7 separate regions of the Mus musculus genome follow, and regions 1, 2, 3, 4, 5 and 6 are each reported to be linked to region 7. Evidence: microRNA targets listed by miRTarBase, many of them from high-throughput screens and not tested one by one. Region 7 holds a microRNA gene; each other region holds the end of a gene's coding sequence. Distances are from middle to middle.
What was found. The annotated mature microRNA mmu-miR-340-5p reads UUAUAAAGCAAUGAGACUGAUU and lies in region 7 at 2,067-2,088, shown strand. An mRNA with a match to its seed (bases 2 to 7 or 8) in the 3' UTR can be bound and repressed. Matches are read on the target gene's strand: a 7mer-m8 pairs with bases 2 to 8, a 7mer-A1 pairs with bases 2 to 7 and ends in A, and an 8mer does both.

Region 1: the mRNA of Enpp2 is a reported target of mmu-miR-340-5p. The part of its 3' UTR that is shown has no 7-base or 8-base seed match.
Region 2: miRTarBase lists Son as a target of mmu-miR-340-5p. The part of its 3' UTR that is shown has no 7-base or 8-base seed match.
Region 3: miRTarBase lists Nsg2 as a target of mmu-miR-340-5p. Seed matches in the 3' UTR shown: 8mer at 2,273-2,280.
Region 4: miRTarBase lists Slc41a1 as a target of mmu-miR-340-5p. The part of its 3' UTR that is shown has no 7-base or 8-base seed match.
Region 5: the mRNA of Epha7 is a reported target of mmu-miR-340-5p. Seed matches in the 3' UTR shown: 7mer-m8 at 2,046-2,052, 7mer-A1 at 2,158-2,164 and 7mer-A1 at 4,011-4,017.
Region 6: miRTarBase lists Map3k7 as a target of mmu-miR-340-5p. Seed matches in the 3' UTR shown: 7mer-A1 at 1,936-1,942.

The regions. Positions count from the first base shown.
Region 1 is chr15:54,835,944-54,840,024 of GRCm38, reverse strand. It overlaps Enpp2 (ectonucleotide pyrophosphatase/phosphodiesterase 2), which reads left to right. Exons shown (of 25, transcript NM_015744.4): 25 at 489-1,124. The coding sequence ends at 659. Among named protein-coding and RNA genes, the nearest start is that of Enpp2, 82 kb to the left of the region's middle.
Region 2 is chr16:91,677,886-91,681,966 of GRCm38, forward strand. Son (Son DNA binding protein) reads left to right here. Exons shown (of 12, transcript NM_178880.4): 12 at 216-1,307. The coding sequence ends at 275. Donson (downstream neighbor of SON) reads right to left here. Exons shown (of 10, transcript NM_021720.1): 9 at 3,272-3,484; 10 at 1,380-2,141. The coding sequence ends at 2,004. Among named protein-coding and RNA genes, the nearest start is that of Donson, 8.8 kb to the right of the region's middle.
Region 3 is chr11:32,056,817-32,060,897 of GRCm38, forward strand. Nsg2 (neuron specific gene family member 2) reads left to right here. Exons shown (of 5, transcript NM_008741.4): 5 at 627-2,395. The coding sequence ends at 818. Among named protein-coding and RNA genes, the nearest start is that of Gm12108, 42 kb to the right of the region's middle.
Region 4 is chr1:131,845,989-131,850,069 of GRCm38, reverse strand. Slc41a1 (solute carrier family 41, member 1) reads right to left here. Exons shown (of 11, transcript NM_173865.3): 11 at 1,207-3,520. The coding sequence ends at 3,335. Among named protein-coding and RNA genes, the nearest start is that of Rab29, 19 kb to the left of the region's middle.
Region 5 is chr4:28,963,360-28,967,429 of GRCm38, forward strand. Epha7 (Eph receptor A7) reads left to right here. Exons shown (of 17, transcript NM_010141.4): 17 at 530-4,070. The coding sequence ends at 644. Among named protein-coding and RNA genes, the nearest start is that of Gm11917, 100 kb to the right of the region's middle.
Region 6 is chr4:32,018,934-32,023,014 of GRCm38, reverse strand. Map3k7 (mitogen-activated protein kinase kinase kinase 7) reads right to left here. Exons shown (of 16, transcript NM_172688.3): 16 at 1-3,514. The coding sequence ends at 3,334. Among named protein-coding and RNA genes, the nearest start is that of Map3k7, 57 kb to the right of the region's middle.
Region 7 is chr11:50,067,654-50,071,653 of GRCm38, forward strand. Mir340 (microRNA 340) reads left to right here and starts at 2,049; the gene lies at 2,049-2,146. It overlaps Rnf130 (ring finger protein 130), which reads left to right. Exons shown (of 9, transcript NM_021540.4): 3 at 3,518-3,768.

The DNA.
Region 1 (4,081 bases), not on the chromosome of region 7:
TGACCTGTTTCAAGCTGAACATTCATTATCAGATAGTCACTGACTATCTCCCAGATAACTGATGGGTGTGATAGCTCTTCTGAACAGGAATACACATGTAGTTTCCTATGCTAGGCACTAGGTCTCTGCCTATTTTGTGAGATAGAAGAGCATTCCAGGGTGTGCTGAATCCAATCCTTCATTTGATGGCTGAGAAGAAAAGCAACCAGATCAGATTCTGAGGGTCAATGATTTTTTTCCCCATTTTGATTTGTGTTCTGAGAAACCAGTGAGAAGAACACCTTTTCACACTACATTTCTCATTTGTTTGGTACACTTTATCACTGTGAGAATGTCTACAGGCAAGGAGGGGTATTTGTGGTACATTCCTGACAGAATTCAGTAGAGATACGAGGGTCTGGTGGGAACAATATGCTTGGGTGTGTGTGCAGAAAATGACCTAGTCTAACCTTGTCTAGAAAAACCTGATTGCTTCCCTTCCCTTGCAGAGTTCCGAGGATGAGTCGAAGTGGGTAGAGGAACTCATGAAGATGCACACAGCTCGGGTGAGGGACATCGAGCATCTCACCGGTTTGGATTTCTACCGGAAGACTAGCCGTAGCTATTCGGAAATTCTGACCCTCAAGACATACCTGCATACATATGAGAGCGAGATTTAACTTCCTGGGCCTGGGCAGTGTAGTCTTAGCAACTGGTGTATATTTTTATATGGTGTTTGTATTTATTAATTTGAAACCAGGACATAAACAAACAAAGAAACAAATGAAAAAAAAAAACCACTTAGTATTTTAATCCTGTACCAAATCTGACATATTAAGCCTGAATGACTGTGCTGTTTTTCTCCTTTAATTCTTGATGTAGACAGAGTTGTGTTCTGAGCAGAGTTTATAGTGAACACTGAAGCTCGTGATCCAAGTAGAAGCTTCTACATGGTGCTGCCAGTTGAATATGTGCATTGAGGAAATACTAGGTTCCCAGTGCCCAGTCACCACGTGTAGTCCTGTTCTGTATTGAAAGACTGATTTTGTAAAGGTGCATTCATCTGCGGTTAACTTTGACAGACATATTTAAGCCTTATAGACCAATCTTAAATATAATAAATCACACATTCAGATTTTCCCTGGTTCTGTCTGGCCTTTGTTTCTTTTGCAGATCTGGAGCTTTCCCTCAGGTGTGTGCATGCGCAAGAGGGCCCCGATTCTCTTGCATTGGGTCCTCTTCCCAGCTGCTTCCTTGATATTTGACTAGATGATGGTATAGGTACATGCATACGGGAAGTCAGAAGGGCAGAGTTAAAACAAACCAGGGCCGGGGAAAACATAATTGTTTAGTAAGATATTTCAACTTTGAAAAAAAAAAAAAAAAAGGTCTCTTGATTGATTCAGTTCAAAATTCTCCATAGTAGATTCAACCTCAATTGTTTTATGGAGTTAAGGATGTAGTTGATGGAACATGTGCAAGACAGTGTTCAACTCCCAGACCTACAAGAATAAAAACTTTATTAATCATATATTCTATTCAAAACATCCACCTAGGGGCTAGAGCAATGACTCTCCGTTAAGAGCACTGACTGCTCTTCCAGCCGTCCTGAGTCCAATTCCCAGCACCCACACGGTGGCTCACAGCTATCTGCAATGGGATCTGGTTCCTTCTTCTGATGTGTGTGAAGGCAGAACACTCATATAAAATAAATAAATAAATAAACAAACAAACAAACAAACAAACTCACCCAGCAATTATAGAGAATGTAAAGAGAAAAAAGTAAGTTGAATTGAGTTCTAGATGTAAACATGTGTAGGCAACCGACCAAGGCAGAGAATTGCCAAGGGCATAAGGTCACCATGCAATGTCAGAAGAGCATGGATGGGTTGTGGGTTATTTCAAAGCACATAGTTATGGTACTGTACAACCACATAGATATACATCAACTATGTACGGTACATAGTTGATGAGCAAAGCCAAGAGGTCATTAAATATTGTTAATCAAATCGTGGAGAAAGATGAAGTTGTCTTGTTAACATCGACAATAATACTGTCACATTGCCAACAACTGCTGGTCTTATTTTTTTTTTTAATTAAATAGAAGCATATGGCTTTATTTCCCCTGTGGTGGTCATCACAATTGGTCCTTTTAAATCTATTTCTGTTTAAATCTATCACTGTTGTGATAATCACAACTGGACCTTCAGTAGATGAAATGAGTTTTTCAATTTTTATAAATATTCCTTTAAATTGCACTAATTTAAGAAAAAAGGAAGGAACCGTGTCAAGTGAGGAAAACCAACATGACATCAAAAGCTGATGCCAGGAGTGTGTGAACATTCAGAGATGATAGAGGAACAGTGACATCTGAGAAGCAGGGCTCCAAGTCTACCTTGGAAGGAAGAAGTGTCTGTGCGCTTACCAAATTTAGTTAGCCTCTGTTTATTGGGTACTCATGGTTGCAGGCATGTCTCTGCTACGTGGTATGCCTTGTGTTGTATGCCTTCCTTCACAAACAGGAAGGCTGGGGAAGATTTTTATGGACTGGGCGAGGATGAGGTGTGAGTGGTAAGTGGTCTTGGAGTTTGGAATAGAGAACCAGTAGTGCAGAAATGAGCATGAATTCGGTTCTTCATCCATTCTGTATTTGGTCGTTTGGTAATAAACATCTTATCCAGCACTTACACAGGTCAGTAGGGATAAAACAGTGAATAAAAACCTACATGGTTCCTGACCCCATAAAACTTATTTTTTAAGTGAGTGGAAGATACTATTTAAGGTGTTAAAGTGGCACACTTGCAAGGGGAGTGAGTGTCAAGGCTGTGGAAAGGAAATGACCTCGGAGAGAACATTCTAGTTTAGATTAGGAGGATGAGAAGAAGTGGCCTCCAGGAAAACAGAGACTGGAAAGAACTACAGATGGTAGGAAAAGTCTCAGATCTGAAGGCTTATGACAATCTGAAAAGGATGCCCCTGAACGTACACAGTGGCATCTAGGTAGGCAGGGAACAGGCCAGGTTCCAAAGGAGTTCTGATACAAGGTGTCTTGATCCCGTTCCCTGTGCACTGGAGAATAACTGAGAAGTCTCATGTAGGATGTGATGAGACCTGACTTAAGATTTCTGCATACTGACCTGAGTAGGTAGGAATTACACCGTGTGTTCTGGATAGTAACCCACACAAGAATAAACCCAACAAAAGGGTCCACTTATGAGAGCCTTGCTTATCTCCCCAGAGTGTCACTGAAGGGAACAACAGTTAATTGTGAGCTGCTTGTGAAGATAGATTTCTGTCACCTGAGATTGAACTCATCCAAAGATGGGTTAAACCTAGACTCCTGGAGAGAGCAGGGTAAATTTACTTGAATCCCACTGCTCTATTTTTATTCTTGGATCAAAGTTTTTTTCTCATAAACAAACTTAATGCCCAGAGAGAACTCAACCCCTGTATATTTCAAGTAAGTGGCTTTGCAGATAAATACATGCCATTAATTGTGGGGTTATTTATGAGAGTCTCTGAATGGACAGGGACTCTATTAAAAATGAGGTCTAGAAGACTATTTTAAGTTGGGATTTTTTTTTTAATATATGGAGTCCTTAGTCCATTCATGCTCCCATTGAGCAAGTTGCTAGCCACTCACTAGCATGGTGGTCCTAGCCCAGCGGATGGGCTCAGAATCTGCCTCTTTAGAATGATCTCACTGAAAACAGCCACATGCTTTCCCAAGGGAGAAAACACTGAATTGTTTTGAAGAGGGTTGACTCTTAAAAAAAAAAAAATCTCTGAACAAAAGCCTTGCTGGGTGCCAACTTGGTTTGCGTAACTGCCTGAGAGCAGCAACCCCCAGCTTCCTGTACCATTGTTCCTTGTGGTGGTTGGGGAGAAGGTGGTTGTGGGAGACCCAGATGACCTCTCCTGTTTACACTTCTCTCACTGCAACTCTGTTGTTCTGTCTCCCTGCTGAATTAGGATTGGGCTACCCTGTGGGTGGGAGGTAGGGATGGCAATGGGTAATCTCCTGTGGCTTCCAAGCCAGCGATTGTTTGAGGCAGTGACAAACACAATTCAGATGTTCAAGTTTATGAGCTGGGGTAGAGAA
Region 2 (4,081 bases), not on the chromosome of region 7:
GGGGATACTTTTATTAGGGCTTTTAAAAATAGTATGGAGGCTTGCATTTATTTTGCAGTTTCCTTTTTAAAATCATTTGTTGCTTCTGGGCTGAGATTAATTTCTATAATGTGGGGTTTGTAATTTATAGTTATTTTTAGAATTTAGTAAAAAATTACAAAGCTAATAGATATTAAAGTTTGATGCTGTTCTTATTGTATGTTTTTCTTGAATAGGTATTGAGAAATGGAAGCCCTTACCAGCCCAATTGTATGTTTTTCTTGAATAGGTATTGATAAATGGAAGCGCTTACCAGCCCAGCTTTGCCAGCCCTAATAAGAAGCATGCTAAAGCCACAGCAGCAACTGTGGTTCTTCAAGCAATGGGCCTTGTACCAAAGGACCTCATGGCTAATGCCACTTGCTTCAGGAGTGCCTCACGTAGATAGATTGAGGTTTTATATTAATCATTCAGATAATTTTACTCTGCATCACAATGTATTTCCTCCTTAATGTTGTAAATATTTCACAATTTAAGACATTGTGTAAAAAGCAATCTGTACAAACATCTCCAGGCTTTCGTTTTTGTACCATGGAAATTGTATTTAACCATACAGGGTTTTGGTATGTTTATATTGTTTACCTTAGTGATGTATTTGTTTAAGTGGCTAACATCCAAACAATTGTTTGAGGGCATCAGTAATATTCAGTGTGGAATGTTAAATAACGCTTTTATACTGTATTTTGTACTATGATGTAACTTCCCTTCCTTACGGCTAGGCTGCTGTAACACTTGCCTGTAATCAGTGAAGGGCTGTGCACCTTGTACTATTTCACAATGGGTTCTGCTGGACAGATACTGGGCCAGTGTTATTAAGGCAATGAAGCAAGATCTGTTCCACAGGGCTATGCCACCATCTCCCCCTTTTTGTAGAGATTATGAAAAGAAAGTGATACATTGTGTCATGATCAGTACTAAGTCCTGCATTCCCATTAAAGCCACTTGACTTGGGTCATAAGAAGGAAGTCAAAATGGAAGTCCAACTTCAGAGGCCAAGTACATATTAGTATGGCTTCAGTTGTGATATAGTTTTACTTTGATGTGCATTTTGAATTTCAGCTACACCTAGATAGACGTAAATAAAAATGCTGTAACCGACTTATCTAATAAAAATTGGCACCCAGCCGCTATTTTGTTGACTGAGGAAGTTTATGTTAATTTTTTAGGGTCTGATAGAATATTCATGTGTATTACAGTGGTATTCATATGCTATGTCTCTAAACTTTATTTTCAAAAGCTTAAGGCCCAAATACAAACTTCTCTGGAATAAATGTTGTGTCTTATTCTCTGGCTTTTATGGAACACATATAACTAAGCACTATTTGTTTCTTACCCAATTCTTGTGATTTCTATGCACGTTTATTTAAAAATACTGAATTTTATACACACATGCAAACACAGATTACCTGTAAGCATACTAAGTAGTAAGTTGACATGGCTGAGGGCCCAGCACTTAGATGAAGTACAAAGTAGCCTCCCCTCTGACTTGACACAGAAGATGAACATACGTGAGAGCAGAGGAACTAGAAATCATTAGTAAAAATGCTCATTTCCCTACGTCTTGAAAGAACTCACTGCTCGTCTAAGGTACAATGTGGATGCTTTAGTCTCCATTGGAATAATTGCTACAGGTAGTCTGTTTCTCAATTGTAATAAAACACTGACTTTTCTACTCAGGTTAACAATAAGTTGCAGGGATAGAACTCTTATTTGAATTATCTGAGGTATTAAGGAAGCTCCTTGCATCTTCATCTCTGAAAATGTATGAAAATAATAAAAGCAAAATCTTGATTTAAAACCTAATGCTATTGCATGTAATAAGTTAATATAAAAATGTTTAGGAACATTTCAGTATTTTAAAATATATTCTTCCGAATGAACTTTAAAAGCCAGGGGCCTACGCATCTTGCATTTCCTTGCTAGGAAGCTTTTTCCTCAGACTCCTTTTAGGCTTACTTTGGTGTTCAGGATCTCCAACTTAAAATGTAGTCACTCATTTCCACACTCCGCAGGGATGACTTCCCCAGCACTGGCCTCTGACTGAGCTGCTCCAGGGTTTTAGGATGCAGCCCACAATTAGCAAGGTCCTCACGAGCAACTTTCTGGGAAAACACAAGTCCACATCCATAAAGCACATTAGTTCTTGAACTCCGAGGTTTTGTTGTTTTTAAAAGATTTATACAAGTACACCAGAGCTGTCTTCAAACACACCAGAAGAGGGCGTCAGATCCCATTACAGATGGTTATGAACCACCATGTAGTTGCTGGGAATTGAACTCGGGACCTCTGGAAGAGCAGCAGTCAGTGTTCTTAACTGCTGACCCATCTCTCTTGCTTGGTTCACCAAGTTTTTAATAATCCCCATAAAGACTTGCCAATAAATGGCTCAGTCAATCATAGCTAGAAGATAATCCTAATAATTTCTGTAGTATGAAAATCCTAAATTAACTAGTCTATTAGGCTTGATAAATACTGTGCCAATTAAAGGACTGTAAACTATCTTTAAAAAGTCTAAAAAAGGGCTGGTGAGATGGCTCAGTGGGTAAGAGCATCCAACTGCTCTTCCGAAGGTCCAGAGTTCAAATCCCAGCAACCACATGGTGGCTCACAACCATCCGTAACAAGATCTGACTCCCTCTTCTGGTGTGTCTGAAGACAGCTACAGTGTATTTACATATAATAAATAAATCTTTAAAAAAAAAAAGTCTAAAAAGACAATCCAAAATAAATTAGTAACTAAGGCTTGAAGATGGTTTAGTGTTAAAACACTTGCTGTACAAGTGTGATAACCAGAGTTGGAGGCTATCTAGAATGCCCAAGAATGCTGGGCAGACATGGTTTGCACTTGTAATTAGTCTGAAGGTGGCACACAGAGACCAGCTAGCAAGATTAGCCACGTTCAGACATTCAGGTCTTGAGGAAAAGACTACACTGATGACTGAGGTAGAAGAGCAGCTCCGTGTGAGCTCGCTCAATCCCGGGTGCTCTTAAACACATGCAGAACTGCAAGTTATGTACACAGACATGAGAAACGGGAAAAATAGCTGGGGTAAATCATGTTTCCATAAACTACAAAGGAATCAGGAATTCATATTTAGCATTTCCTAAATTCATGAAATTTATCTTATGCCCATGTGGATATTAATTTGTAACTTGTTTTCAAACGATATAAATTTGGCACAAGTGACATTTACCCCAGCAAGAGGATATAGGGTATGACTGGTCTACTTACTCTGTCCAGTTCTTTATCCAGAGACAGGCCAACATTGAAAACTGCAGTTGGCTCGTGTGCATACAGTCCTGCAGAGAAGGACCCTCTCTGTGAAGATCGGAGTAGCATGCTCATAGAATGCAATGCATGAGGCATGACAGGCCCTGTGATATCCAAACTAAACTTATCTCTGTATCCAGAAAGAGCTTGTGTCTTTACATTACTGCTCCGTGCCTTCAGAACATTTAAAAAAAAGTCATGTGGTACAGAAAATTAGTAAAAGGGATTTGATATAACTCATGTCACCTAGCTCTCAAGCAAAACCAAAACTCCTGGGAATGCGACTTGGTCAAGCTGCTTGTCTAGTAGGCCTCCTCCCCCACGCAGTCTCAGTGCCGACACACAGCCCAAAGTATGCAACAACAGTTTACAATTATGAAAACTTGTTTATATGCTATCATATATATACACACACACATTTTTTGAGATCGGGTCTTACTATGTAGGCCTTGCTGTTCCTTAACTCACTGAGATCTGCTTGCCTCTGCCTCCCGTGTGCTGGATTTTGTATTTTCTCAAATGCATGCACACCCAGTTGTGCCTGTTACCCGTGGGGTAAGAAGGCATCAGAATCCTTGGCACTTGAGTTACCAATGGCTGTGACCACCACGTGGGTGCAGGGAACTGAATTTGGGTCTTCTGCAAGAGCAGCCAGTTCTCATATTTAAATACTGAGCCATCTCCCGAGTCCCTAGAATTATTTTTTAAAAATTGAGAATTTGAGCTAGGAATGGTGGCACACGCTTTTAATCCCAGCACTCAGGAGGCAGA
Region 3 (4,081 bases), 18 Mb from region 7:
ATGCAATTTATTGACTACTGTGCGGGGCTGAGAAACAGGATTGTCAGGGTACACACTCGTATATCAGATAGTTGGAAACGCCTAAGTCAATCCCTTATAAACAGAGGACATTTATAGCCTAAGCACACTAAGAGGCAGCAACACTCATTTAATACACCTTCACTCTGAGTGCTAAAACTAGCGATATTTTATGATTATCATATATATATATATACTATGATAATGCAGATAAATACATAAGGAAATACATATTAATGTTAGGAACCAATAACTTTACTAAAAAAAACAAATACATATATAAAACAAAGGACATGAAATTGTCATTATCTGTGGACAATGGCCCAGACAGCCACTGGGGACCTGATGTCATGCTACCAAGAGCAGTGTCGTATGGCCATCAAGCCTATGTGTCTGGTCTTACCTCAGTACCAACAGTAGGTATATTTCCTCTCCTCTGAAGATGGTGATGGTATAATCTTGGGGAAGGTCTACTGTGGCCAGGTGCAGGAGAAGAGTCCCCTGTGGGGTACTTGATGGAACTGAAGTCCCTGCACAGGCCATCAGCGTCCCCGTGGGTGCCAGCAGCCCACCCGGCTACTCCTGACTCTTATCTCTTTCTTCCCCAGCACAAGCGCTGTATCCCGGCCTCGCTGGATGCTTACTACTCGTCCCAGGACCCCAGCTCCAGGAGCCGCTTCTACACAGTCATCAGCCACTACAGTGTGGCCAAGCAGAGCACTGCCCGGGCCATCGGGCCATGGCTGTCAGCAGCTGCTGTCATCCATGAGCCCAAGCCACCCAAGACGCAGGGCCATTAGAGGTCTGCCCCAGCTGGGATGGGGGTGGGTGGGTGGAGAGGGAAACCCCCCTCCCCACTAGTTAAGCAAGGCTGGAGCTACAAGACAATACTGTACTGCTAGGGTACGGGGTGGGGGCGGGGCAGGATGGGGTCTGGGGAGCACTCCCCAAAAATATTGTGCACTGGAGTTGTCTGAATCGATCTTTCCTTTTGTTCTTTTGTATTGTTGCTTCGTACCCAAGTCAGGCTCGTGTACAAAGGCATGTTTCGCGTTGATTGTTCCCATGTAAGATATTTTCAAAGCCGCCGCTTATTCTTTGTTAGGATAATTTAGAGACAGAAAGGGGAGCCGGATAAAATGAATTTAAAAAGCATGAAACGGGCTCCACGTGGAAGACACAGCAGGGCAGTAAAGAGCAGAGTCTGTCTGGGACTTCTTAGATAAGGCCCCATGGCTTCTGTGTGGGCGTCCGAGTACTGCGTGGCGAAGGGTGGGCTGTTCAGTTTGCCTGTGGTCTGCAGGAGAGAAGCACAGCGATGGCAGGCAAGGCTGATTTGGAGAGGAAGGTGATGTTGGCATTTCTCAACTAGGAATGCACAGAGTACCACTCAATGGTGAGCTTGCAAGATTTGCACAAACTCATGGGGGAGGCATCCACGCTCAGCCCTGGGCAGCCCATGGGGACCTAGGCTCCGATGCTCACAGGGCGGCTGTTGTGCCTCAGCAAACACAGGCGTGGATAGATGTTGTCTTTCTTTTGTTTTTCTAGGTGTATCCCTAGATGCTGCCCGTGTTTTCAAGATGGCAGGGGTGGGAAGGGAGAGAAAGGAAGAGAGGTCAGGCGGGCCGCTCTGGACCCAGCTAAAAGCATAGGCACCCGGTTTCACCCGGGTTTTGCTTTTTCCCCAAAGCGCTAATGACAGCAGGAATGACAATTGAATTCTAGTTAGTTGAAATCTGACAGCCGGGAAGAAACTTGAAGATTGGGCAGGCAGTGCTCATTCCTAAAAGAAGCTGGAGAAGGTGACTGTTTGCTCACTGTGTTGTGTTGACAGAGTTGTCCAGACTTCCCAGCTAGGTTCTAGAAGCACCTGACAGGGAGGTGTGGCCAACATCCTTAGGCTTCTCACTGGCACTTTAGCAAGGGCCTCCTGCTTCTCGCGAGCATTCCAGGAAATCCCTTTTCTTGGAGGTGCTGGCCCCAGGTCCAAGAGAATGAGAACTGGCCAGGGGAATTGCCCATTTGGTCTGCATAGGCCGTTTAAGGGTATTTTTTTGTGGCTTGCTATATTGCTGAAATTATTGTACACAGCAGCTGGGTAATAGGAATAGTATATCTCAAACCATCCTGCCAGATACTCTCATCTGATTTCTCCTCCCTCCCCCCATCTTCCCATCACCTTGAGTCACCTGTAAATTCATTTGTCATCTGAAACGGATCAACAAATCTTCCCTAGCAAAACCACAGAGCGCTTTATAATTTTGTGGTGTATTTTTGTCAGTAGGTAGCAGAGGCTGAAGTATTTTTTGGTGTAATTCTTGAAATTTTCTGACAGGAAAAAAAAATAAACATAGATGTGTCTGAGTGTCCTGACTGTCTGTCCATCTGTCCTTGACGGCTTGACCTTCTGCTCAGTGAACCTCATGGGAATGCTAGGGGCACAGGAGGTGGGATTGGTAAGTCCAGGAGCAGAGTGCCCTATGACGTGGGAGGAGAAACTGGGATAGTGTGTGTGGGGGGGGGTCTCTATCTTAAAGTAAGTATAGCCTGATACACTGCTAAAGTCCTGGCACGATGCGGAGCCCTGGGCAAGATCCTGAAGCCCTACAAAATCTTAAGGACTACTCATGATCCTGAGAATGTCACGTGACACCAGAGCCTCATGTGGTAAAGAGGTCAAGATATGCCACTAAGGAGCTAATAGGATGCCGAAGGACCCTATGATATGATATATGAAGTATCATGATATGACATGAAGTATGTTATACCAAGAGGCCTGCAATGCTGAGGTTATGATATGCTGCTGCTGTTATGATTGATTCAGAAGGCCTGACATAATACCGTGGGCATTACATGATGCTGAGCATTTGATAAGATGCTGAGATCCTCATGGTGCAGAAGGTCTGACAGACAGGATGCTAACTAAGGGCCTTACATAATGCTGGCCCTGCGTCATGGTCCTGACATCATAGCAAGGCACTGACATGCCGGTTAAGGGACCACCATGGTGACCCTGTATTTTACTACCTGATCACATATTGTGGTTCTCAGCTGGTGCTGAGCACCTGCATATGATATTCAGTTTCTAAAATGCTGCTTGCAGGCCTGCCTTGATGCTGAGTGGCATGTGACATTGAGGTCCCAACATGATGCTGAAGTCACAGCGCTATTCTGAAGTCCTCGTAGGATATTAAAACAAGGTCCTGACATGGCGCTGAGCTCTAAACATGACAATATTGAATGTCTAACATGACACAGAGGTCCAGACATGACAGAGAAGACATAACATGATACTGGAGATCCATTCATGATGCAGGTACTGACAAGATGTCAAGGTCTGGACACAAGGCTGAAGACCTCCTCTGATGCTGACCCCCCTGCCATGACACTTAGGGCATGGTATGCTAAATAGGCTCTGACATGACATTAGACTCGTGCTATTTTTCTGAGGGCATTACATGAGGCTGAGGACCTAATGTAATCCGAGTGACAGACACAATGCTGAGGTTCTGGTGGTGATAGATGAATCCTGTGGTTCTGATAGATGAATCTGGTACTGACATGACATGAGATGTTCGTGAGGTGACATGAGATGTTACATGATACTGAAGAAATAGCAGATGCAGAGGGAATGAATAATGTTGGTTTCATTCCATAATGCTCAGGAACTCATGTGATAATGCAGATGCTGAGGTCAGGACTTGTTGCTAAGGATCTGACAATGTGCTCACATCCAGAAATGTTGCTGAGGTCCCATCCTAGTGAGGACATCTTGTGATGCTTAGGACCTCACATGATGCAGAGATAATGGCATAATTATGAGGTCCTGGCCTGATTCAGATTGCCTGATATATTGCTAAGGTCTCACATAATGCCAAGGCCCTGTCACGATACTCAGGTTTGACATGATATCACAGACGTCCTGACATGGTTTGGAGGATATGACATGAACCCAAGATTCTAACATGAACTGAGGTCCCTCGTGATGTGGAGGGCATGAAGTGGTCCTGAGGTCCTGACCTTACTGAATGCCTGGTGTGATTCTGCCATGATGCTTGCC
Region 4 (4,081 bases), not on the chromosome of region 7:
GCTTCCATGAACCCCATTCATGAGGCCTTTCTCAGCTTCCCCTGTGGTGTCTGGACACTGCTCATCATAGGCCTGCACTGTTCCCACTGATAGGGTTTAGATAGGGGATGTCTACCTAAAAAGCCCATGTATTAGACTTGACCCTCAGCTAGACACTACTGGAAAGTACTGGAAATTTAACAGGTGGAGCCTAAGAGGTTGTTTTAGATCATGGAGCTATATGCTTTGTAGTGGGCTGTGGAACAAAATTCCCCCTTGTCTATTTACTGGCTGCCACGAGGTACGACCTGCCCTACCCTGGGTTCCTTGGCAACATCTACATCACAAGTGAGAAACAGTGGGGCCTATTAACCAGGCACTGAAAACTATTTTTTAAAGTGTGTGTATGCATGCGCATGTGTGTGCATGCATGTGCACCTCCCCTGTCTGCGCAGGTGTCCATGGAGGCTAGAACAGAGCATCAGGTTGGAAGCTGCCTGATGTGGGTGCTGAGGACCACACTGTTATCCCCTACAATAGCAGCAAAGCAAAGCGTCTTAACCCCTGAGCCACGTCTCCAGCCCCCTCCTCTTTTTATAAGGCATTTCTGGTGTTTTGTTACAGCAATGGAAGGTTGAATAACATAATCTACTTTTAATATTTCATAGTATTTTTGGGCTTAGTATGTACCAGGAACAGAATTGTATGTATGTATGTATGTATGTATGCATAAATGTATGTATGTATGCATGTATCACTGGAGCCTCATCTTACACTTACCCTATAAACAGGGTATAATTCAGGTTAGGAAAGGGCTAATGATTCATGGAAGGTCATATAAAATTGTACAATTCTTTTGCAGCCAGTTACATGGTAAATACTCAAGGTAAAAGCATTTCTACACTGACTCAACTCAGCTATAAACCTCTGCAAGGAAGGAATTCTAACCCATAGATGCTGGTATCACCTGCACCAAGGTAATGCATGGGGGCCAGGGAGGGGAGAGCACCGTCTAATATCCTTTAACACAAGGACTTTGTACCCTTAACATCCGCCCCATAGCATCATTGCTTGTGTCTGATGTGTTTTCTATTATATTCTAAGATGGTTCCTCACTTTTGGCACATCGACCCCTTCCCATTTCTGAGGTGGGGGCGGGACCACAGAACAGGGTCCAAGGAAATAGCTGAGTCTGCTTTTTGATGAGACACACAGGGATACAAGCCATTGAAATAAACTTCCATTTTATTTTACCAAATATAATTTATCAGTTAAGTCGACATTTGTCAATTCAGTTATAGTAACTATAAATAATTCTCTTAAGACACAGTTCTGTAACTTTTGAAGGATATGAAAGTAAACCAATTTTGTTTCTTCCAGTCAGGCCAAAAGTACATGCAATAGGTGCAACCCGGTGGGAAGAAATGAATCTCCTGAAGTCACTCTCCTGTCACTCCAGGCCCCTCCACTCACATGCGCTGAGCCTGGGCGCCCCTACCTTTCTGTTTTCTAGGCAAAGGAAGAAGGATGCTTCAGTCTCCAGACAGCCTGATCCAACTCCAGATGTCAGGATAGAGCAAGTGGCTGGGGACCCTGGGGTCACAGTCTTAGGGTATGATGCCTGTGCAAGAGTCTTGTGTTTTGAGATGGAGTTAGGCCAGAGGGAAGAGCAGAAATAAACTCAGATCCACACTGATCTGCCTGACACAACCCCAACTAGACAATCTCTATGAATCTGTCCAATTCGACAGTTCTGATTTCAGGTGATGACAGAGGAAATGAGGCCGAGAAGAGTCTCTAGGTCTAAGCACAGTGTTGGTAGACACGGAGCACTGCTTAATCCTTTTCTTGGAGGCTGACCCTTTAGGCTACACAGGGGGAAGAATTTATGGATTCCAGACAGACAGGCCAGAAGTACAGCCTGCACCCCATTTGTTGAACAGTTTGGGGCATGTGTAGGGAAGGGACTTTGGTTTTCTTTGAATCATGGACGAGGCAGATACTGAAGCAGCCTATTGATATCCAGCTTGCTAATTCCAAGCCCTCTTCTGAGTGGGTAGCAAGATGTGGAGAGGAGAGAGGCTGCGGGAGGAGGGTATTGGAGGACATGCTGCTGCTTGAGCAACGGGGTTGGCAGTCACTGCAGAGTTAGGGGCGAACGAGGGAACATTTACTGTCAGGTTGAAGAGGCACAATGGCCTCTGTAGCCTAGGGGATGAGGTGAGGTTAGAGCAGCGATTCCCTTAGCACTGGTGGGTTGATGCCAGGCACTGAACTTAGCACAGTATGCGCCCCGTAACGACTGCTCAGTGAAGAATTATTGCAGGCCGGTGCTGTGGAAGGGCTCATCTCGGGGAGGCTGAGATTTGCTGAATGAGTGAATGGTTGATGCATGTCTGTGGGCAGAAGCCGAGAGAAAGGCCAACGGAGCCCTCGTGTGATAGAATGAGTGTGTTTAGGAAGTGACAGAGGCCAAGACTGACCACGTGATTATGTCATGAGAGACGGCAGTGAGACACCCCCCACCCCTCCCCGTTGCCTCAATCTCCAGGTCATTTGGCACATTCCCTTGTCCTATCCCCAATCTTAGAAGCCCATCTGGCAAGCTGCGCGGAGACGGAGTGTGTGGAGAGAATTAAAGAGAGGAGGCTTGAACTCGGTTCTCTAGACTCAGGGGGCACATGGACCTTTGGAAACCTGTGGATGACATGGATCCGTGAAGAGCCCGGGTCACTACCACTCATTTCAGCTGGGAAGCAATCAGGCAGTTGGGCAAGGCACATGTGCGCAGATGGAATCTCCAGTGCACGTGACTCTGCGGGCAGGCTGGCCTGGAGCAGGCCTGTGATTACGAGGAGTTGAAGCAACGTTCCCCTGCCCAGTGCTGTGAAGTTGGTCCACATCTATAAAAGTGCGTGCATGTGTGGGAGTGTTAATTATCCCTCCTCCCTCTGTTCAGCCAAACCCTAAACAACCCAGAGCCCACTTGAGAGTTTCTCATTAGGGCCGAGGCTGAGGTCGCTAAAGCTAATGCAAAGGTCCCCGATGCTGGACAGGATGCCAAGGTCCCGATCTAACCTCCTCTGGAGGCACCCACCGTGGAATTGCACTTGGTGATTGTCTCAAAAGTCTACTTTTACTGCTTATGTCAGCCCATCTGTCTGTCCCGAATTCTTCCTATCCAAACTTGGCTCAATGTATAAAAAATTCCCATTGAAAATAATGAGAATTTGGTATCAAAGTGAAATCCCAGAAAGGCATGGGAGTGTAGTGTAGGGTGGGGTAGGGAAACAAAAGGAAAATAAAAATCCAAATAGAAAGTGCAGAGGGGTGGGGGAAAGACTGAATGGCTAAGCTAGTCCCCAACATCTGTGTCTCTGTCCCCAATGAGCCAGAGCACATGGAAGCTGAGTGCCAGGAGTCCGGTGCCAAGCAGGTCCCCCAAAGCAGTCAAGTATGGGATGGAGAAGTTGTCGGGGTCCAGGCCCCGGCCCCACATCCAGTGCACCATCCAGTCTGCGATGTACAGGAGAATCAGCACCTGGGGAGACAGGGGTTCTGCTTGTAGCCACCCGCTTTCTGCAGGGGGAGCCAGAGGCCACAAAATTGGATGTGTTCAGTGGATCACAAGGCTTGGCCGGTCACAACCTTTTTGCCAGGACAGCTCACAGCAAGCCAGGGGCTTTCTAAACTAAATCCTGCCCTTACAGGAAGGCTGCCCTTGTCTCAATTCTGGGTCAGATCATTCTTCAGTTACTGCAATTCCTGCCATGTTGGCCTCTCCAGGAGCCTGGTAGGGGCTGGCAGGTAGAGCCAGTTTCTCTTACAAGGCCCTGGGTAACAGCTGATTACACAAGCTGCTTTCTCTTCACCCTTCCCACCCTGCTGTTTATTCTAATATTCATCTGTAAAGTAGGTTTATGAGCCAGTCAGCGAAATACGTCAGTTATAATGCATAACAGTTCAAAAATACATCTTGGATTATCTACATCGATTTATTTGCTCCCTTGCTTATGTTCTATAACTATAGATGAGAATAGATAATAGATATAGAGAATAAATGAGATTGGAATATAGGTACTGGGTCCAGGACCAGTGGTAC
Region 5 (4,070 bases), not on the chromosome of region 7:
TAACTCACTGCACATTTAAGCTTTGACTCTAGCATTGTACATATATGTAGCAGTTTTCTTCTTGCTATTCAATTGAAGGAATGCAATTATATCTCTACTAATTCATGCTCAGAATTACTCCCAGAATCCAGCTCACTGGACATTTCTGTGTGACACTGACTTCCTGAACTTTCTCCTGGGTTCCCAAAACAATTTTCACTATTACAATATCCCATGTTTCCAATTATATAATTTACAATGCCCAGTGTTTCAGGTAACATTCCATTGCCTTTTAAAATAAAATCTTAGGATGAGTTAAAAAGCAACAGTATGGTAAACTACGAGACAGACTTGTTCATCCAGTATTTTCAAATGAGACTGTCCAAATACGTCAGCATCTTCTTTAGAGTAAGACTGTATAGCACCCAAGAGTACTGTTAGTGTGCGTCAGCCAACAGGTAGTAGAAAGCGTGAGTGACTGTGAAGAAGCACGCAGAGCACGTTCTGTTCTTTGTCATGGATCTGATAAGCGTGCCCTTGTCTTTTTCAGTGATGTGATGAGTTTAGGGATCACACTGGTTGGCCATCAAAAGAAGATCATGAGCAGCATCCAGACTATGCGGGCACAAATGTTGCATTTACACGGAACAGGCATCCAAGTGTGACACATCGGCCTCCCTCAGATGAGGCTTAAGACTGCAGGAGAACAGTTCTGGCCTTCAGTATACGCATAGAATGCTGCTAGAAGACAGTTGATATACTGGGTCCTTCCTACAAGAAAGAGAAGATTTTAGAAGCACCTCCAGACTTGAACTCCTAAGTGCCACCAGAATATACAAAAAGGGAATTTAGGATCCACCACTGGTGGCCAGGAACACAGCAGAGACAATAAACAAAGTACTACCTGAAAAACATCCCAACACCTTGAGCTCTCGAACCTCCTTTTTATCTTATAGACTTTTTAAAAATGTACATAAAGAATTTAAGAAAGAATATATTTGTCAAATAAAAATCATGATCTTATTGTTAAAATCAATGAAATATTTTCCTTAAAATATGTGATTTCAGACTATTCTTTTCCAGAACCATCTGTGTTTATTCTGCTTAAGGACTTTGTTTTAGAAAGTTATTTGTAGCTTTGGACCTTTTTAGTGTTAAATTTATGACACGTTACTACACTGGGTACCTTTGAAGACTCTCAAACTTAAAGGAAAGCAAAACTACGCACATAGTCGAGGATGGGACTTTGTCCTTCATGGCTTTGGTATCCTGGCTGTGTCATTTTGTTAAACCAGTGATGTTTTCATATTGTTTGCTGATTGGCAGGTAGTTCAAAATTGCAAGTTGCCAAGAGCTCTGATATTTTTTAACAGGATTTTTTTTTCTTTGTAAAAATCAGACAACATACTAACTTTTCAATGAAAAAAAAAAAAAAAAAGAAAGCAATAATGATCCATAAATACTATAAGGCACTTTTAACAGATTGTTTATAGAGTGATTTACTAGGCAGAATTTAATAAAAAAAAAAGAGAGATGTCAAATTTTAGGTTTATGTGTATATGATAAAAGGCTGAGCTTCGTCTGAAGATGCTGGTGAAAGCAAGACTGGAAGCGAAGCTCTCCAGCTTTGGCTAACCCAATCCGAGCACATCAAGAGCTTCAGTCTTGTGACAGTAAGAAATTTAGGAACATAGTTGACCTATATTTTGTATTCTTTCTTGTTGAATGCAGTCCAAATACAAAAGTAAGGAATTCAGTTTTCTATTGTTACTCTGAAGCAAGATCACAGGGGCCATTCTCTTCTCACCACTCACAGACAAACTAGCCGCAAATATTTCCACCAATGCAGTGAGAAGAAAGCAACACAGAGGTATTTTATCTATGAACAGTGACACACACACACACACACACACACACACACACACACACACAAACCCTTTTAGGTCAAAACTCTTTTACCCCAGAAGGAAGAAGTAAAGGGTCTGGCTTTTCTGTTTCCACTTTATTTATCAGACCATATTATTTGGTTACTGTGTTTGAATTTCATAAGCAATAATTAAATGTGTCTTTATAGCTATTTCAGGAATGTATACATATTTGAGTAATGTTTTCAAAAGTTACAAAAATCATGAACTACCCCAAAACTGAACTGTTGTACTTCCAAAGAAAATTGGGCTGTTTATAATGATTTTACTAGAGAAAGATCCCAGGGATCGGTCCTAATTGGTGTTGTTTGGTCATGTGGACATCCACAAACAATCAAACAAACAAACAAACAAACAAGAACAGGTAACAAGCAAAATCTGTAAATGTTCCTTTGTAAAACTTGTAAATTTTATTTATACCGTCTTGTTTTGTATACACATTTCTCAGTCGTGGCTCCGAGGACATGAAAATGCTCTATATTTTTCTATTTTACTTGCAGAGCTTCACAAAGAAACAGGTATTTTCAGTGCTACTTATTGTGTTTTCCCACATTTAGGACCAAAGATGGCTATAGAAAACTCAAATGGATTGCGTCCCAAGCCCCGCCCTATCCTTCTTTTTCCTTTTTATCACTGTACAGTGTTATTTGATATTTTAATTTATTTTTTGATTGAGTAGAAAACTCATTTTAATTTCTCTAAAATGTTTTTTGTCCCTTAGGAAAAAAAATAATCTGTAAAAATAGTTTTAATTAGCATAATCCAGTCACCCTAGACACTTCCATTTGTAATCTTTGTAATAGACTGTAAATATATTTTTGGAACTATAACACAATGTGCTTGAGGGTTATTTTTCAGTGTCTGCAGTGTATACAAAAGTGTTTAACCTCAGTATAGCACTTTACAATTCTAATCAGTAGCGTTGGCCTTTGTGCGAATGAGTGCGAGCTTGAGCGAGTGTTCTCTAATTCCGTTTGGATTCCGGACTCACTAATAATGAAGTTCTTTTCTTGTTCATAGCTTAAGGTGCTTATTTTTTCTATTAAAAATTAAATTAACAAAAAAGCCATTCTAGAAATAGAAGACGCAGTATGGTACATGCAGACAGAGTCTTTCCTGCTTTTTCTAGTAATAGATTTATAGTTGAGTAGTCTTTCTTGAGTAGAAGGGCAGAATAAAAGTGGTTTTTTTGGGTTTTCTTTTCAAGAAATAACTTTTTCCTTCAGCAATATACCTCATCTGCCTTAAATTTTTTACAGCTCTTTACAGGGAAAGGGGAGACGGGATGGAAAAGACACAGCACAATAAGAAGTGGATGATTGCATCGTGCTCTCGTTTGTAGGTCTCTTTTCCTAATCAACACTATGATTTTGAAGTACGCGTACACGAAGCAAACGGGAAGAGATAAGGAATTAGCATTGTGAACCTGACTGTAATCCTCTCTTCCGGAAAGAGATGAGATGCTATTGCGATGAGAATGTACAACTTGCACCTTGAAATCTTTTTTGATAATTAGTGCTCAGGGGAGGGGGGGGGAAGTAGAGAAAGCAAACGCCCAACAGAGAATTCCAAAAGTATAGAACACGCAACAGGAAATGGCCTCCTTGCTTTAATACAGCCGCCTTTTATAGAACACCGCCCACCCAAACCACCTGGTTTGCGTTCAGTACTGAGATACATTCAAGTAACTTCTTACATTGGGAGCTAATATTTTCTCAGCAGTGGATCAGGGCCCTGTTTACTAGACTGGTGGCTGGCTCATGCTTCTCAGAGCACTGTTAGTAGAATCATATTGTATACTTATGTAATCTACATTAGCTAGCACTCTTTAGGACTCTATTTTAATTGCTCCTCTTCTTGGTGTTTTTAAGACAATGGAAAGGGTGTAAGTCACCTCTCTTTTATTTAGGTAATGCTGATCCCTTCCCTTTTGTTTCCTGAGCAGCCCAGAACTGTACTGCTCTCCAATGTGCATGTTCCAACGAATAACTGATGTGTATTTTTTTGCTATATGTGGAGAAATCATGGGGAACTTGGGGCGAAATATGCTTTTTGTTGGTTGAATTTTGTCCCTCCTTGCCTAAGAAATACTACAGGGGTCATCCTTTTATAAGGACAAAAAAAAAAATGCTTTTGAACAGTGTCTTCAATGTATCAAGCACAAAT
Region 6 (4,081 bases), not on the chromosome of region 7:
CATGAACTTGTCATTAGTAACAGTAGCTTATCAATACTGAAGCAACGAGGAAACTAATGGATAGATAGTAAAAATATGTGGTTATCTATAAGCGGGGGGGGGGGTTACTTGATATAAAAGCAAAATGGTTACTGTAGCTTAGAAAAAACATTAAGAAGTTTGCAATGATAAGTCAGTCACTTTTATGCTGTACTCCATAAAAATGAAGGCCCATGAAAAAATAAAGAGGACTTTTTTTTTCTCACGTGTGTGTGTGTGTGTGTGTGTGTGTGTGCGCGCGCGCACGCTCGTCTGAGTATATATGCACCATGTGCTTACAAGAACCATCAGGAACATAAGGAGTCAGACCACCCCGGAACTGGAGTTGCAGAGAGTTGGGAGTCTCCATGCGGGTGCTGGGAACAGAACCCTAGTCCTCCACATGAGTGCTCTTAACTGCTAAGCCGACTCTCAGTCCGATGATTCAGTCTCTGGCATGACTATGGTACACTGTACTGAGTATGCTAGGAAACTGGTGATTCAGCTATTGGTCTGCATGAGGTAAATACCACTGGGCAAACCCACAGCTCAGTCGTCGTGTAGAGAAGCCAGCTACCATTCCTACATACCAGCCTGAAATAACAATCTGAATTTTATTAAAGACAAAAATAAATCAAAAAAGCCTCCTTCAGTTACAGAGTATGCACAAGAATTTCTGCATTATATCATCTTACAAGAAATACCTGGACAGGAATAAAAGTAGATAGCTTTACTAGCTTGTGAATAGAGGAGTTGACTACACACACACACACACACACACACACACACACACACACACACACACACACAGGGAAGGAGGGAGAAACAAAACCACCTGTAATCTCTGGCTGCAGGAGGAGGGGGCCTTGGGAGAATGACAGAAATTTGAAGGAAAAAGACATTCGCTATTCAAAAAATACTTCAACAAAAAATAGCCAACCACTTGTAAATAACTCTAAGCAGATGTTTTCAGTATGGCAGTATGGTGCTCTTAACTGACTTACTCAACCTAGAGCATGGCTTTACTGCTGAGGAGGACTTCACTCCACATTGCACAACCTTGCTTCCTTTCCTGGAAATGGAAACAAAATGCCACTAGTGTCTGTGCAGGACTGTCTGGTTCTTGGACATCAATGTATAAACCTGTCTGCCTGTTTTCTACTTCACCCAAGAAGTGAGGCTTGAATAAATTGTAGAACAGGAATTAGTGACCATCTGGCTCCTTGGTATGTTGTTATTTGAAGGTTTTACAGGTTGAGACATTGAGCAAACTGGTATGGATTTCAAGTATGGATGGTGTGCTCACGTTCAGCGATAGTGGAGCTTTAAAAATGCATGTGAGTGTGCCAGTGCACCTACTTAAGGCTGTCCAGGACCACAGTGTCGGAAACCCCAAGGAGCTGAGCATACACAAGCAACCGAGTAACAATCTTTCAACACTGGTACCATGAGCAAATCCAGTGTTTTCTTCCATTTGCTTGTTTGAATACTTTCAAGTGACCAGGACAACAAAATTTCCTTTTAGTTGTAGGATGCAGACCTTGCAAAACAACTGGCTAGAAATGAGCTTGCATCCATGTAATGTGGAATCTCCTGGGAAGTCAAGATGCTTTCAGCATGCTGCACAGCAGAGACCATGGCTCTCCTGTGGAGTGCCAGATGTCTGCACAGGCAGCAGTGGCAGGCGGTGTTGGTCTTGGACTCAGACTACAGCTATCTTCTGTGTCAGTTTTATGTCACTACTAACGCTGAGCTCGGCACTCATGTCACCTAATAGAGTTTGAGGCTATCTATAATCTTTTTTATTTAAGTGAAAGAAGACATTTAGCTCCCAGGAGCTTTCTACTAACAGGTTTTGAGGAAGGCACATCTTGCTATAAACTCTCCCTTACCTTCACTGTATACAGAAGGGATTCATTATAAAACTCAGAGAGGAAAAAAATAACAGGAAAAAGGTTATCTGTCTTAGCCTTAAAGAACACCTTCGCTAGCTTCTCGTGCTCATCTGGAACAGAGCAGGAACATGCGAGATGTACATCTAAGTACCACAGCGATCATCTTTCCATTCCAAATGTTCTCTTTACAAACATGAACACTATAAAAGCGAAGCTGATGGCATCTAATTTAAAAGACATTCATGCACTGGTATCAAAATGTGTTAACATGGACTGAAAAAATAGATCTTAGGGATTTATTTTTTTAATGGCATTTTATTATTACCTTTAAGTTATTTTGAAGGTTGGTAGTAAACTTATTGTTAACAATATAAATATTCTCTTTGTAAGTGTTCAAATTCTCTTAAAAGCATGGGAAGGCAACAGACTCAGGAAAGGACTTCAGAGGAATCAAGTCCTCTGAGTAGCTACGAAAGTGGGTTTAATTTTCCTCCTTTGCCTTCCTTACTCGGGCCTCCTGATTAGCCTGCTGTGTTCCTTATTTGGTATAACAGACCGATAGCTCAGCTCAAGCCTCCTTTAGCTGGGCCAATGATTTGTGTCTCTATTATTTTTCAATTTTCTTCAAATATATCATAAAACAACTCAGTAATGGTTACAAGAAGGATCATTTAAGCTACATCATCATCTTTCAATTTCATCTGCTACTAATATTAAAAGTCAGAAAGGCTTCTGTTTTCACACAGAATTGAAAATCCATAGGGTGTAAAAAGAGCATGTCATTCATATTTCACAGACGATGCTCAACCTCACGAAAGTCAGTAAACTTGCTCTCCTTAAGCACAGCTGCCACCACTCACCTTTAATAGTAACAGGTGGGACTACAGTTAGTATTGATCCAGGATGTGTTGGCACAAACCCTGTCTTTGAACTCAGCCTCAACATTCTGTCCCTCTGTAATGTACCACAAGTTATTTTAATACCCTGTCTTTACATTGGAGCATACCATCTACTGGGAAAAAAATCAGATTTTTGAGATGAGCACTTTGAAGAAAATTCTTGAGGTCCCACCTTTTACTACAGAGAAAGGATGATGCCTGCACACAGTAGCCAGTGTGCTACCCCCTCCTGTTAGGTAGCTCACTCCAGGAGCATGCACATACAGCCAGGTTCACTTCATGTGCTCTGAAGCTGAGCACGCTCGCCTTCCCAAGCCACAGGTGCCATCATCTGCTGCAACACGACAGTGGATTTTATATCCACCATAAGAAGAAAGGTAACTGACATAACAAATGCAGCAAAGAGAGGCATTTGGCATTCAGAACACGCCAAAAAGCTAACACTCATGAACTGTTATAATGGTTTGTCTTCTCTTAAAAAAAGGTCTTTGCATATTTTAAAACGTAACGGTCCCAGAGAATCATGAAGTGCCTTGTCGTTTCTGCTGTTGGCTTCTGATGACCTCTAGTTGTTTTTTGCATTGCTGGTAATAAGTAGAAAGGCTTTTGTTTTCATCTAAAAGCTTTTTATGTTCCTGTACCAGACGAGATGTATTTTGCTGGTCCTTTTCATCCTGGTCCAATTCTGCAACTAGTTCTTGCCTATAAACAAATTACACAACAGACATTACACCCGATGGGAAGATGCACACCGGTAGCTGATGAAGGAAACTCAGCTAATTAGAACCTTTCTCCCTATCATTCTGCAGCTTAAGTATATTACTCCAATATGGTCCTAGGACAGAATAGAAACCTCCCACTCATCTATTGTAAACCCACAAGACAGCCCTTCATTAAGTACTTAAGCAATCAGTAAATCAGAGAAACACTGCACTAAGTTTCAGGAAATTTCATGTGGTGCCCTCCTTTCTTGGTAGGAAGAAAAGGAGGCTCAGTTCCAGAGACAGCACTGTGTCACAGTTCCTACTTCACAGCTATACGCCAAGGTCCTCCCATCCTTACTCTGCAGTCACAGGGCTACCTAACTGCAGCTCTAATGGAACAGCAGAAACAGTATTTGTAAAGATTTTTGGGAGACCCTCATTCTTACAGGCAGGTAAGCTTCAAGTTCCTTTACTTTGAGGACATTAAATGTTAGCCCTAAAGTGAGAGTACTGGGTGTAAATAAACAATAACGTCTTATCAAAAGGAACTTCTCAATAGTTACCA
Region 7 (4,000 bases):
CACTCTCACACACGAACGTCTGTATATGCAGGCATAATACCAATACACATAGAATAAAAATAAGTAAATTATGAAGAAAAAAAGAAAAGAAAATTCTCAGAATAAAAAGGGAAGAATTACAGGGAAGAATTGCAAATTTAAGTAGCCATGCTAAGTTACTAAAACAACATAAATTCCTATTAAAGAATAAATTGGCAGGCTAGCAAGATGGTCCAGTAGTTGTGAGTGCTTACTGTTCTCTCAAAGAGTTCGGTTCTCAGAACTCATATGGGACAGTTCACAGTCACCTGTAACACCAGTTCCAGGGAGTCAGTGACAGGTAGATACACACGCATATACATATAAACATGAGGTTAAGTAATAACTTTTTGTTGTTGTTGTTTTTCAAGACACGGTTTCTCTGTGTGGCCCTGACTGTCCTGGAACTCGCTCTATAGACCAGGCTAGCCTCCAACTCACAGAGATCTACCTGCCTCTGCCTCCAGAGTGCTGGGATTATAATAATACTCATAATATTCTTTATTTCACTGCCATCTCTAAGAATTAATACTAGCTATGGTGGTGTGAGTGAGAAAATCTTCCATAGGTGCCCGTATTTGAACACTTGGTCTCAGGTGCATGGTATCATTTGGGGATGTGTTGGAGGTGTGGCCTTGTTGGAAGAGGAGTGTATTAGTAGAGTCCAGCTTTGAAAGTTTAAAGATTCCCAAAATTTACTGCTGTTCTCTCAGCTTAGTGCTTATGGTTCAAGATGTGAGACTGGAGAGATGACTCAGAGGTTTCCAGGGCATTCTTCTGCTCATGGAGAGAACCTGAGTTCAATTCCCAGCACCCACAACAGGTCTCTCACAACTGCCCGTATCCCCCCTTCCAGGGGGTCTGTGACTCCTGGTCTCCACAGGCAACTATAACTTGCATGCACAAAGCTACACACATAAACACATAATTGAAATTAACAGTGTTTTTAAAAAGGTGTGAGTTCTTGGCATCCAGTTCCTACCTACAGTTTGCTGCCATTCTTCCCCACCATGATGGAACTATAAGCCAAACAAGCCCCTCCTTGTATACGTTATGTTGGCTATGATGTTTAACCACAGCAGTAGAAAAGGAACACATAGCTGCATGATTGTTGAACTCCAAAGCCATGTCTTGGTGTTTCAGAACACAGGCATAGGGGTGATCTGGTCACATTCTTTGTATCTGTTTAATGTTTCCATTACTTCAGTCTAATTAACCCCTCTCTCCTACCAGCTACTGCTACTCTAATCCTAGTTTTATCCTGAGGGTTAAGTTTCCTCTGTTGTCATCATCCCTCCTGAATCTGCACCAACTCTCCCAAGAGTTTTTTGTTTTGTTTTTAAGGTTTATTTACTTTTTTATTGTGTGTGTGTGTGTGTGTGTGTGTGTGTGTATACCTGCATGAGTCTATGTGCACCATGTGTACAGAGCCCTCGAAGGCCAGAAGAGAGTGTCTGTTCCCTCTAGAATTGGAGTTACAGTAGTTATGAGCTGCCATATTGATGCTGGGAACCAAACCTCGTCCTCTGCAAGATCAACCAGTGCTCTTAGCCATCTCTTTAGTCCCATCCCCATTTGTAAATGTCTGAGCCATCTTGTTAGGCTCTTTGAACCCAGCCCAGCTCTAGATGTTGGGGAGAAAGAAACTTTTTTCCTAGGAGGGTTTGTAGTTTGCTTCATCACCTTCTGTAAGAGATCACTGCCTTCACTAATATCAGATGTGCTGCTGTACTTTTTTATTTGATCATTTTCAGTCTCCTTTGGCAACATTGCCCAGTCTCCTCTTTTTGCTAGGATGATAAAGCTACAGTGAGATCTATTCACTCTTGTCCTCCTAACAGTGAATATTGACAAGTGTTGAACTAATTAAATTTTTCTTTCCCAAACAGCTTCCTGTTGAGATTAGTTGACGCGCCCATTTAGTGTTCGGTTAAGGAAATTACTGGATTGGTTGCCTTGGCTACCTGTGCAGCTCTCCCCACTTCCAGCTTGAGTCTTCAAGAGGGAGCCTCAGAACTGATTTCTAAAACCAATTGTACTTGGTGTGATTATAAAGCAATGAGACTGATTGTCATATGTCGTTTGTGGGATCCGTCTCAGTTACTTTATAGCCATACCTGGTATCTTAACACCACAGATCATGCCTGTTGATCAACATTGTAAAAGCACAAACTTAAGGTTTCTAAATGGAAATTTAAACTGGTTTAGCATTCTTTTATGATTCTTTTTAACTCACTCACCAGAGGCAGATGTTAACTTAATAATGCTAGTTTTAATTTTGTTGTCTCCTTTTTGTTTATAGATTTTTTAAGCAAAAATAAACTGGTAAACTACTACTCTAATAAAGTGAATAAACCGTTTTGAATACAGTATTATGCAAATATATATTCCATTGAGCTATATTTTTTTCAAAACTTCTGTTACTGAGTTTCTGTTGTGTCTCATCTTGACTGCTAAAGGTAACAAGAAATCAAAACAAGTGTTTCTAATATTTGTTGACAGAGCCTTCAAAAGGTCAGGTCTGGGGTCTCTGCTTGCTGTTTTGAGAGGGTATTTTGTGTTTGGATGCACAATCCTCCTTCATACTCACAAAAGTGACCTTGGTGAGTAGCTGCTCACTCTGACTTAAAACAGGCCCTTGAAGCCATGTGAGAAAAGGACTTGAAAACACAACTGAACCATCCTTGTAATTAACTTATAAAAGTTGTGCCTGTGGGCAGAACTCTGAACAGCTTTTAGGAACTGAAGGTTTTAGGTATCATTATGGGTAGTAGTCCAGAAAGTTGAAACTTGGGCCTGCCTAGAGGATTTGAGTGCGCTGGGCATGGTTAAACAAGGTGGAAAACTAACATAAAACTCAAGTCTGAGGCTAGCCGAGGCAATGTGAGATGCTGGCTCCAAACTGGGTGGGAAAATTGTTGCGTTTGAGCTCCAGAAGTGCCCTGGAAGGAGCTTTACTGTAGACAGAAGACCAAAGTTAGTTTCAAAGGTTGTTGGTAAAAGATGTTGCCGTTCGGCACTTGTCACTCCATAGCCAAGTGTGTGCCCTAAGAAGTACCCTTCTTTCTGTTTCTTAGAGCAGTCCTTGCTCAGCAGTGCGTGTGAGGATGAGTAGTGCAAGGACCACCTGTTCAGACTGTAAATGACAGTGCTTCTCTGTCAGAACTTTCCAGATTGATTGCTATAGAAAGGTTTTCTACTGAAGACTTAACCTGATTTAGTCACAGGTGGCTGCTTTCACAGTGCTTCTAATGCACCGGTAAGGCAGTTTGTGCATTGTTAACACCACAGTTGCTTTATGCGTTACCTGTTTGGAGCACTGTACATGTTCTCATGCCTGTCAGTTTACACAGCTGCAGCCTCATGTCAGTTGAACTGGAATCTATAAACCTTAGTGAAAATTATGGTAATTTCTCTATGGAGCATATGTGTATATTTATTTGATGTGTCTATGAATTTCAGATGTCACTTTAGTCTGTGTATTTGTTTTACATTACAGGCACGGGAGATATTATTGCTGTCATGATAACAGAATTGAGGGGTAAGGATATTTTGAGTTATCTGGAGAAAAACATCTCTGTACAAATGACAATAGCTGTTGGAACTCGAATGCCGCCAAAGAACTTCAGCCGTGGCTCTCTAGTCTTCGTGTCAATCTCCTTTATTGTTTTGATGATTATTTCTTCAGCGTGGCTCATATTCTACTTCATTCAGAAGATCAGGTACACAAATGCTCGGGACAGGAACCAGGTGAGCTAACCAGTACTCTAGCCAGCCGTAATCCATGAGGATCTTGTGATAATACTTGTTTATGTCATATATTTAAAAACAAGACCAACAACAACAAGATAAAAACATGCCAAGTATGGTGCTGTACCCTGTAATACCTGCACTCGGGGTTTTGAGGCCAGTTGGACTACGCAGGCGTTCCAGGCCATATTCTATCTCAGTTTTAAAAAGAAAAAGAAATGAAAGAAAATGT